Linked DNA regions of Xenopus tropicalis. The protein of the gene in region 1 binds, or shares a complex with, the protein of each later gene. Links are inferred from orthologs where the notes say so. Each region holds a gene or a part of one and is shown in the gene's direction. Other genes may lie near its edges.

Region 1 (3,819 bases):
TCATATAAGAATTCTTACTGGAAGGGTAGTTTGTCAATCATTAGGCAGGTCCATAAGAGTAGAAGGCTCTGCCTAGGATCCAACCAACTACTTTGCTCTGTCTCTTTATTTGCCTCATTAGCCCTTAGGAGCAGTTACCATGGAAATGGTTTCTATAACACCTAGGCAGTTTAAAGGAACAGTAACACCAAAAAATGAAAGTGTATAAAAGTAACTAAAATATAATGTGCTGCTGCCCTGCACTGGTAAAAGTTGTGTGTTTACTGAAAGTCTACTATAATTTATAGAAATAAGCTGCTATGTAGCCATGGAGGCAGCCATTCAAAGGAGAAAAGGCACAGGCACATAGCAAATAACAGATAAAACACTATTGTATTCTACATAACTTATCTGTTATCTGCTATGTAACCTGTGCCTTTTCTCCTTTATTCCAGCTTGAATGGCTGCCCCCGTGGCTACACAGCAGCTTATTATATAAATTATAGTAGTGTTACTGTAGCAAACACACCAGTTTTACCAGTGCAGGGCAACAGTGCATTATATTTTTATTACTTTAAAGCTCTTTCCTTTTTTAGTGTTACTGTTCCTTTAATTCACAAATGTTACATAGATGCAGGTGTCCGAGTCACTTAAAAGGAGCATTTCTACTTAGAATTCATCTTTAGTATCATGCAGACAGTTGTATTTGAAAGGGGTGGTTTAGTTTAAGTTAGCTATTCCTAGCAACTTTGCAATTGGTCTTTATTTTTTATTTAATTCTTAAATTATCTGCCTTCCTCTTCTACATCTTTCCAGTTTTAAATGGGTGTCATTGGCACTGGCAGTCAGAAAATGTTTGCTCTGTGGGGATATGATTTTTATTATTATTGTGACGTTTTATTTCTTGTCTTTTTACTCATGCCGTATCCTATTCATATTTCAGTCTCTTCAAATAACCAAAAAAAAATAAAAAATGAAAACCAAATGCAGATTGTCTTAAAATACCAATGTCGATATCATACTAAAAGTTAAGACCATTTGTAATTGGTTATTATCCTATATATTTATTTTTACAGGAATTATTATATAATTATTGCAAGCTGTAGGGCTGGTTACTAATTTTTCTTGATGCTTGTTTCTTATTCTTATTGTCATTTATTGTCTGTGTCGGTACTTGTGGTCTAAAAGCACTAGTTTTAGTGTGTATGCCATACATATATATTAGCCAAGTGCTGGAGAAGAATGAACTTCATATTAATCATATTTAGTAGGTATATATTAAAAAGGACCTGATCAAACAATATAAATTTGCTCTTTTGAGCACATTTGCAGTTTATTCTTTTATTTTCAATGATTAACAATATACAGGTATGGGATCCATTATCTGGAAACCCATTATGCAGAAAGCTCCAAATTTCGGGAAAGTCATCTTTCATAGAGTCCATTTTAATAAAATAATTAAAGTATTTTAAAAATAATTTCCCTTTTCTCTGTAATAATTAAACAGTGCCTTTAATACATATAAATATATATAATGAATCCTTATTGGAGGCAAAACAATCCTGTTCGGTTTACCTAATGTTTAAATTATTTTTTGGTAGACTTAAGGTATGGGGATTCAAATTAGGGAAAGATCCCTTATCCGGAAGACCCTAGATCCCAAGCATACCTGTACCATACCTATATAAGCAGTTTTCGACTGCTAATAACAGACTTTTAGGTTAGCAGTTCCCTAAGGTTATCTGACTATGCAGGTGCTGACTCCTACAGATGCCACCTTGAGAAGTGCTTTCCATGCCTGCTTTGGATTTTAATGTTGTTCTTACATTGCTTCTCTCCTTTCGTTTGACTTCCTAATAGCTTTCCCCTGGATATCGGCTCCTGTCAGTGATATGGACGGGATGCACTCCATGTCTGCCATGTCATACAGATAACTTTAGAGTATTATGCACAGCATTGGACAGACAATTTGAGCAAGACCTCCTTGAACCACATTAGAAGGGAACACTTGTTCACTCTCTATGTTGTGTCCCTGGTGAGGAGGGAAGAGTCCTATCCATGCTTTATTTATTACAAAAACTTGTTAGATACTATGCTTTAATTGTCATTTACATGTAGTTTTTGGAACATTCCCAAGCTGGTGCTGGAAAGTCAGGCAAATGACTCTGATTGGGGTGGTTTAGCCCTGTGGACCCCACATTGCATGCTAGGTGATATTAGGTAAATTATATCTTACTTTTGCACAGCAAAAGAATATGTAACTCAAAGCAACTTTCTATTATACGTTCATTACAAATGTTCATTGGTTTTATATATATGTGTAGATGCAATTGCTGTTAAAAAGCACTACCAGTTCTCACTGTTTATATTCTTTAAAAGACTTTAAAGAAAACAGACTCCTGACTGACTTACATTGAAAATCATTAACTAAAGTATATTGGAAAGTTGCTGAGAATAATCATTCATTATGCAAAAAAAACCAAAACAAAACAAGACCCCATTAACGCACAGTGTTTTATCAATCATCAATAGCCATTCTATATACAGTATTGTATATTTAATACTTTTTTTCTGCATGAGATTAAAGCATGTGAAGAAGAAATGAATCTCACTTACAAAATGGGTATTTATGGCTGGGAAGTTTGCAAAATGAAATCAAAAGATGGTAAAATGTTAAGACTTTCACAGAAATTGATGCTGCACAGCAGTTTAGGATTCCTGTGTAAGCAGCTTTCAGTACTACTCTGCATGATTAAGCATCCACTCTTTACCACTTAGGTACTGGTCATGCAGGGGTCATTCTTGCTGAATTTGTTTAACAAGTAATTCTGTCTGACTTAAGTGACCCTTGTAGAGCAAGAGACACACGCAAGATACACTAGCAAGGATTAACCAAGGAGGAACATGTCCTTAAATCTGACTGTGAATGTTTTACTTACTGCAAATTTTTTTTACTAAGATTCATGTATTTTATTGATGTTCTTACAGTGTTGTCTTACACTGATTTCATATCTATCTTATGCGCCCTAAGGTTGGGACAAGCATTCCTATGGTTACCACGGTGATGATGGGCATTCGTTCTGTTCCTCTGGCACTGGACAGCCATATGGGCCAACGTTCACAACTGGGGATGTCATCGGCTGTTGTGTCAACCTGATTGACAACACCTGCTTCTATACCAAGAATGGACACAGTTTAGGTAACACTCTGCATAGGAAACTGTAAATGCTTTTTCCTTTAGTAGCACAAGTAGAAATAATATGTGAGAGAAGGTTGGAGTTTAAAGGAAAAGTCATCGCACAAGACCCCCTTTTATTACAATTCCACTTAACATTTAATTTTTCATAAATGTTAATAACACACAATAGTGAACATTTCTGTCACATTGGGGTCTTATAATAATATCATTCATTGGCTACTACACCTTAGATAATCCTTCTTATCTCTCTCACTGAATGCAGTAAGGATAATGGCAAACATGACATTTTCTACACTCATGTAAAAAAAGCACTGAGGGCAGGATTTCAGTACAGAAACACAAAGCTGTGCCCCATGGAGTAATGCAGTGTGTGTTATTATCCTTACTGCACCATTGCTTGGAAAGGCTGTGGCTGATTTAACAGTGAGTTAAGGAGGCATTAAAATTATGAAAATGCCATGTTTACCATAAGCTTTTATTTTAGTGAGCCTTTCAGATAAGGCAGGGCAGTTTGAACTACTGGCACATGGCAGGGGTGCAAGTGCTATACTGCGCTTCTCAGTGCTCACTTACCAAGAACTTGTGCCCAAGGAAATACTGCTATCTACACCAAGTCCCTACTCAGCAATCCAGTGCTCAGT
Region 2 (4,344 bases), on another chromosome or scaffold:
AGTAAGACATTGGACTGATGCCTCAGTACCAAATGCAGAATTCTACTGGGTTCATACCCACACTATCCAAGCAGTAATACATTTCCCCTCAGGGCAACTGCACTGCTAAAGGGCAGAGAATGGGTGCGGATGTGGCAGCTGGCCAAGGGGGCAGTAACACGGAGGGGGCAGTAACACGGAGGGGGCAGTAACACGGAGGGGGCAGTAACACGGAGGGGGCAGTAACACGGAGGGGGCAGTAACACGGAGGGGGCAGTAACACGGAGGGGGCAGTAACACGGAGGGGGCAGTAACACGGAGGGGGCAGTAACACGGAGGGGGCAGTAAGAGAGAAGGCACAAAAGTCCAGCATAAGTGGGGGCTCTGGAGAAGGACATTTGGAAGGAGCTACACTGAATTGGGGGAATAGGTAACATTAGAGCTAAAGGAATGGTATAGACTGGAGAGGTGGAATTTAAAAAAATGGGGGGGGGGGGATTATTGTTAGCTTTAAAAATGCCCCCTTTCTTCAGCAGGATTTCTACCCCCCACCAAGACACTTTCCCATTCAATCAGTTCTCATCCTTGTGTCGCCATGTGTCTGATGGGCCCCCATAATGCCATGCCCTAATGGTCTCTGCCAAAAGCTCAGTAGGAGGCAGGCAGCCAATCACAGCTCTCCGTTTATACTAGATCTGCTACTGTTCCCTGTAGGGCTGGAAGTGGAACCCATGGGCGGGACTAGTAGGGTTTAAATGAGCAGAAAATGGAATATTTAGGGGTATATTTATCATGCTGTGTAAAAAGTGGAGTGAAACATTACCAGTGATGTTGCCCTGGGGAACCAATCAGCAATTACATTTCAACAGTTAGAAAACCAAAGCATCTGATTGGCTGCTATAAACAACATCACCGGTGATGTTTTACTCCACTTTTTACACAGCATGATATATATATATCCCTTAATGACATATTGCTTTTATATTTACAGGAGTATAATGCACTGGCAAATCCCCTTTTCTCCCTTTCCACTCCCTGGTGCCACTTACCGGTAGCAGCGGCTGCATAGAGACGCGTCTGAGCGCAAAGTGCCGCCGGGAATACACGCAGCCTCCGGGCAGTGATCGCTAGCAGACTGGGCAGCATGGTATAGTAAGGGAGGGGTCAGTGGTTCTGCTCAGGACTCTCTCCCATCAGCACCTGCCGAGGGGCAAAGGATTATCAGTAGATATTTATTAGCGACCACCCCTCTGCCGCTGTGAAATGGTCTCTCCCCAAGGCTTCCCACAAGGCTCAGCGCTCATTACACCCAGAGAGAACACGCTGCCAGTCCCAGCCCCTATGTACAGAAAGCCTGCTCACCCGGGCGCAGCCATCTTGGTGACCCTGACTTGTTCTTTGTCGTCACGTCCGGCAAGCAGCCAATCCGAGCCCTTCTTGGTCTCCATTGGTCAGTTTTAGCTAGACTACATTTCCCGGCGGCGCCGAGTCACCGCTTTAGCCAATTGGGGGCGGTGCTGCGCGGTGGGCGGCCTTTCGTTCAGCCAATCGGACTGCGCGGTGCTGGAGAGGCCCAGGTGCTCGGGCCGGGAGTGGAGAAGTGGCCGAGCCCTAGTGTGGAGCCGCCTCAGCGGGAGAGGGGCTCGGCCCTGGATATGCCGGTCCGTACCGAGGCCAACAGCGCGGCCTCCGGATACTCCTCTCTTATTCCTCCTCCTCCCATCAACACCCAGCAGCCCGGCGTGGCCACCACCCTCCTCTACAGCGGCTCCAAGTTCCGGGGCCACCAGAAGAGCAAAGGCAACTCGTACGATGTGGAAGTTGTGCTTCAGGTGAGGCCCGGCGGGGCCGACTGCAGCCTGGCTAGTGTGTGTGTGTGTGTGTGTGTGTGTGTGTGGGCACAGGGGGGGGATGTGCGGCAGGGAATCCTGGGTAGAGGGGCTGGGGGGGGGGGGGGGTTGTTTAACAAGAGGTTTATTGGGGGAGAGCAGGTGAAGGGGCAAGAGAGGAGCAGGGATAGGGTAGAATGATGGGAATAGAGGGGCAATGGGAGTGGGGTAGGAAGGGTTATGGGAGGGACCCCTAGCCAGGGAAGGGTGGCCGGAGCAGGACATGTAGGCACTGGGGCCCTGGCTTGGGAGGTAGGGGGGTGAGTTATGGCAGGGAGGGAGGGAGGGGGTAGGAGAGTCATAGGGTTCTGCTGTGAATCATGTTGGGACTGAGAGCAGAGAAGCCAGGGCTGCTGGGTAAGTGAGCGCCAACAATAGTCTCCCCCTTGTACAGTGAGCGCCAACAATAGTCTCCCCCTTGTACAGTGAGCGCCAACAATAGTCTCCCCCTTGTACAGTGAGCGCCAACAATAGTCTCCCCCTTGTACAGTGAGCGCCAACAATAGTCTCCCCCTTGTACAGTGAGCGCCAACAATAGTCTCCCCCTTGTACAGTGAGCGCCAACAATAGTCTCCCCCTTGTACAGTGAGCGCCAACAATAGTCTCCCCCTTGTACAGTGAGCGCCAACAATAGTCTCCCCCTTGTACAGTGAGCGCCAGCAATAGTCTCCCCCTTGTACAGTGAGCGCCAGTAATAGTCTCCCCCTTGTACAGTGAGCACAACAATAGTCTCCCCCTTGTACAGTGAGCGCCAACAATAGTCTCCCCCTTGTACAGTGAGCGCCAACAATAGTCTCCCCCTTGTACAGTGAGCGCCAGCAATAGTCTCCCCCTTGTACAGTGAGCGCCAGCAATAGTCTCCCCCTTGTACAGTGAGCGCCAACAATAGTCTCCCCCTTGTACAGTGAGCGCCAACAATAGTCTCCCCCTTGTACAGTGAGCACAATGGTGGAACCCTAACTGGAAAGGAATAGGGAGAGTATGGCAGAGTAGGTGGGGGAAGGAGAGTCATGGGAACCTGCCATGAAGGTATTACTTGGGGGGACAGGAGAGTAGTAGCACCCTTGTGGGTTACAGTAACAGGGGAGAGTATAGAGAGGGCAAGGAATCTCTTCTCTACATTTCCTGTGGAGGTAGATATGGGAGCCGCAGTTCTAGAGAGCGTGTGATTGGTGGATGGAGTTGGTTTGGGGGGGGGAAATGCTTCAGTAAATTTTACACTAAAGCTCGGTGTGAGAGAGTATTATATCTGCCTGCTGGTACAGAGTATTATATCTGCCTGCTGGTACAGAGTATTATATCTGCCTGCTGGTACAGAGTATTATATCTGCCTGCTGGTACAGAGTATTATATCTGCCTGCTGGTACAGAGTATTATATCTGCCTGCTGGTACTGAGTATTATATCTGCCTGCTGGTACTGAGTATTATATGTGCCTGCTGGTACTGAGTATTATATGTGCCTGCTGGTACTGAGTATTATATGTGCCTGCTGGTACTGAGTATTATATGTGCCTGCTGGTACAGAGTATTATATCTGCCTGCTGGTACTGAGTATTATATCTGCCTGCTGGTACTGAGTATTATATGTGCCTGCTGGTACTGAGTATTATATGTGCCTGCTGGTACAGAATGGTGGCATAGCCTGGGCACAGCCGCTACTCCTATACACTGCAGCCCACACAGGTTCCTGCACTCCCTGCTGCAAGTGAAGTTAGTGAGCGGGGAAGAGTCATGTGACATTTCTCTGGTCGGTTCTGAGCACAGAGACATCCCCAGAACTTTCCTCTGCCGGCTGCAGCCAGTGGGAAGAACAGAATGGGGCACTGTGTCATATTCATTATAACACAGTGTTAAAACTGCTAATATCTCGAAAACTAAATGTCTATAAGCTTTTATTTTCGACGGGTACAACTTACAGCCCTTACAACTCCCCCCCCCCCCCCCCCCCTCAGCTTAGGTTGTCCACTGTCATATGGCATATTCTCTGCTTTAATTCATTGCCTCCTATTAATCTAAGTGTTTGGCCCTTACTCAGAGTCGGGCACGGGGCCCCTTTCCTAGCGGCGCTCACCTCTGATTTGGCTATGGAAGTAGCCGGCCATAAATAGGCATATATAGTGTGAGCGGCACCCTGGGAGAGCTCCCTACTCCCTCCTGGATCGCTGCCCTCGGCCCAGCAAAAGAATTAAACAAGGAGGGATTTGCATCCACGCAGGGCATAATCGGGGAGAGAATACGGGTGCCAGGGGGGGGATTGTGCCGGGCTGGTACCACCTTTATCTGTCTCTCTCTTGCCCTTATTTGTGTCGCCGAGCCCTAACAGTCTGCCAGTGCTGTGACCTAACGTGACCTAATGTGCCGGCGCTCCTGCCTCTGCCCACGGGCAGCCTTTGCTTTCAGCTGAGCCAGGGTTTCTATTGCTCTCTCCCTGCACAGAGAATGGGCTCGGGCGGCTCAGCTGCACTCTGGGCTCCC

The links.
Region 2: the proteins of ranbp9 (region 1) and gid4 are in contact, whole or in part, in a cryo-EM structure (PDB 7NSC), measured with the Homo sapiens proteins. The link is inferred for Xenopus tropicalis from reciprocal best matches to the Homo sapiens genes RANBP9 and GID4. Residues at the interface, in NP_005484.2 of Homo sapiens: Ser223, Lys224, Gly225, Arg226, Asp227, Gly228, Tyr229, Met230, Gly256, Asp257, Thr274, Phe275, Thr276, Thr277; in NP_076957.3 of Homo sapiens: Leu187, Arg189, Asp194, Glu195, Asn216, Asp218.

The regions. Positions count from the first base shown.
Region 1 is NC_030682.2:91,825,579-91,829,397, reverse strand, and holds part of ranbp9 (ran-binding protein 9), read left to right. Parts: intron 1-3,010; coding exon 3,011-3,178; intron 3,179-3,819. UniProt on the Homo sapiens protein: May act as scaffolding protein, and as adapter protein to couple membrane receptors to intracellular signaling pathways. Acts as a mediator of cell spreading and actin cytoskeleton rearrangement.
Region 2 is NC_030685.2:15,291,527-15,295,870, reverse strand, and holds the start of gid4 (glucose-induced degradation protein 4 homolog), read left to right. Parts: upstream 1-1,473; 5' UTR 1,474-1,634; coding exon 1,635-1,811; intron 1,812-4,344. Other genes in the region: atpaf2 (ATP synthase mitochondrial F1 complex assembly factor 2 precursor), read right to left, coding at 1,029-1,125.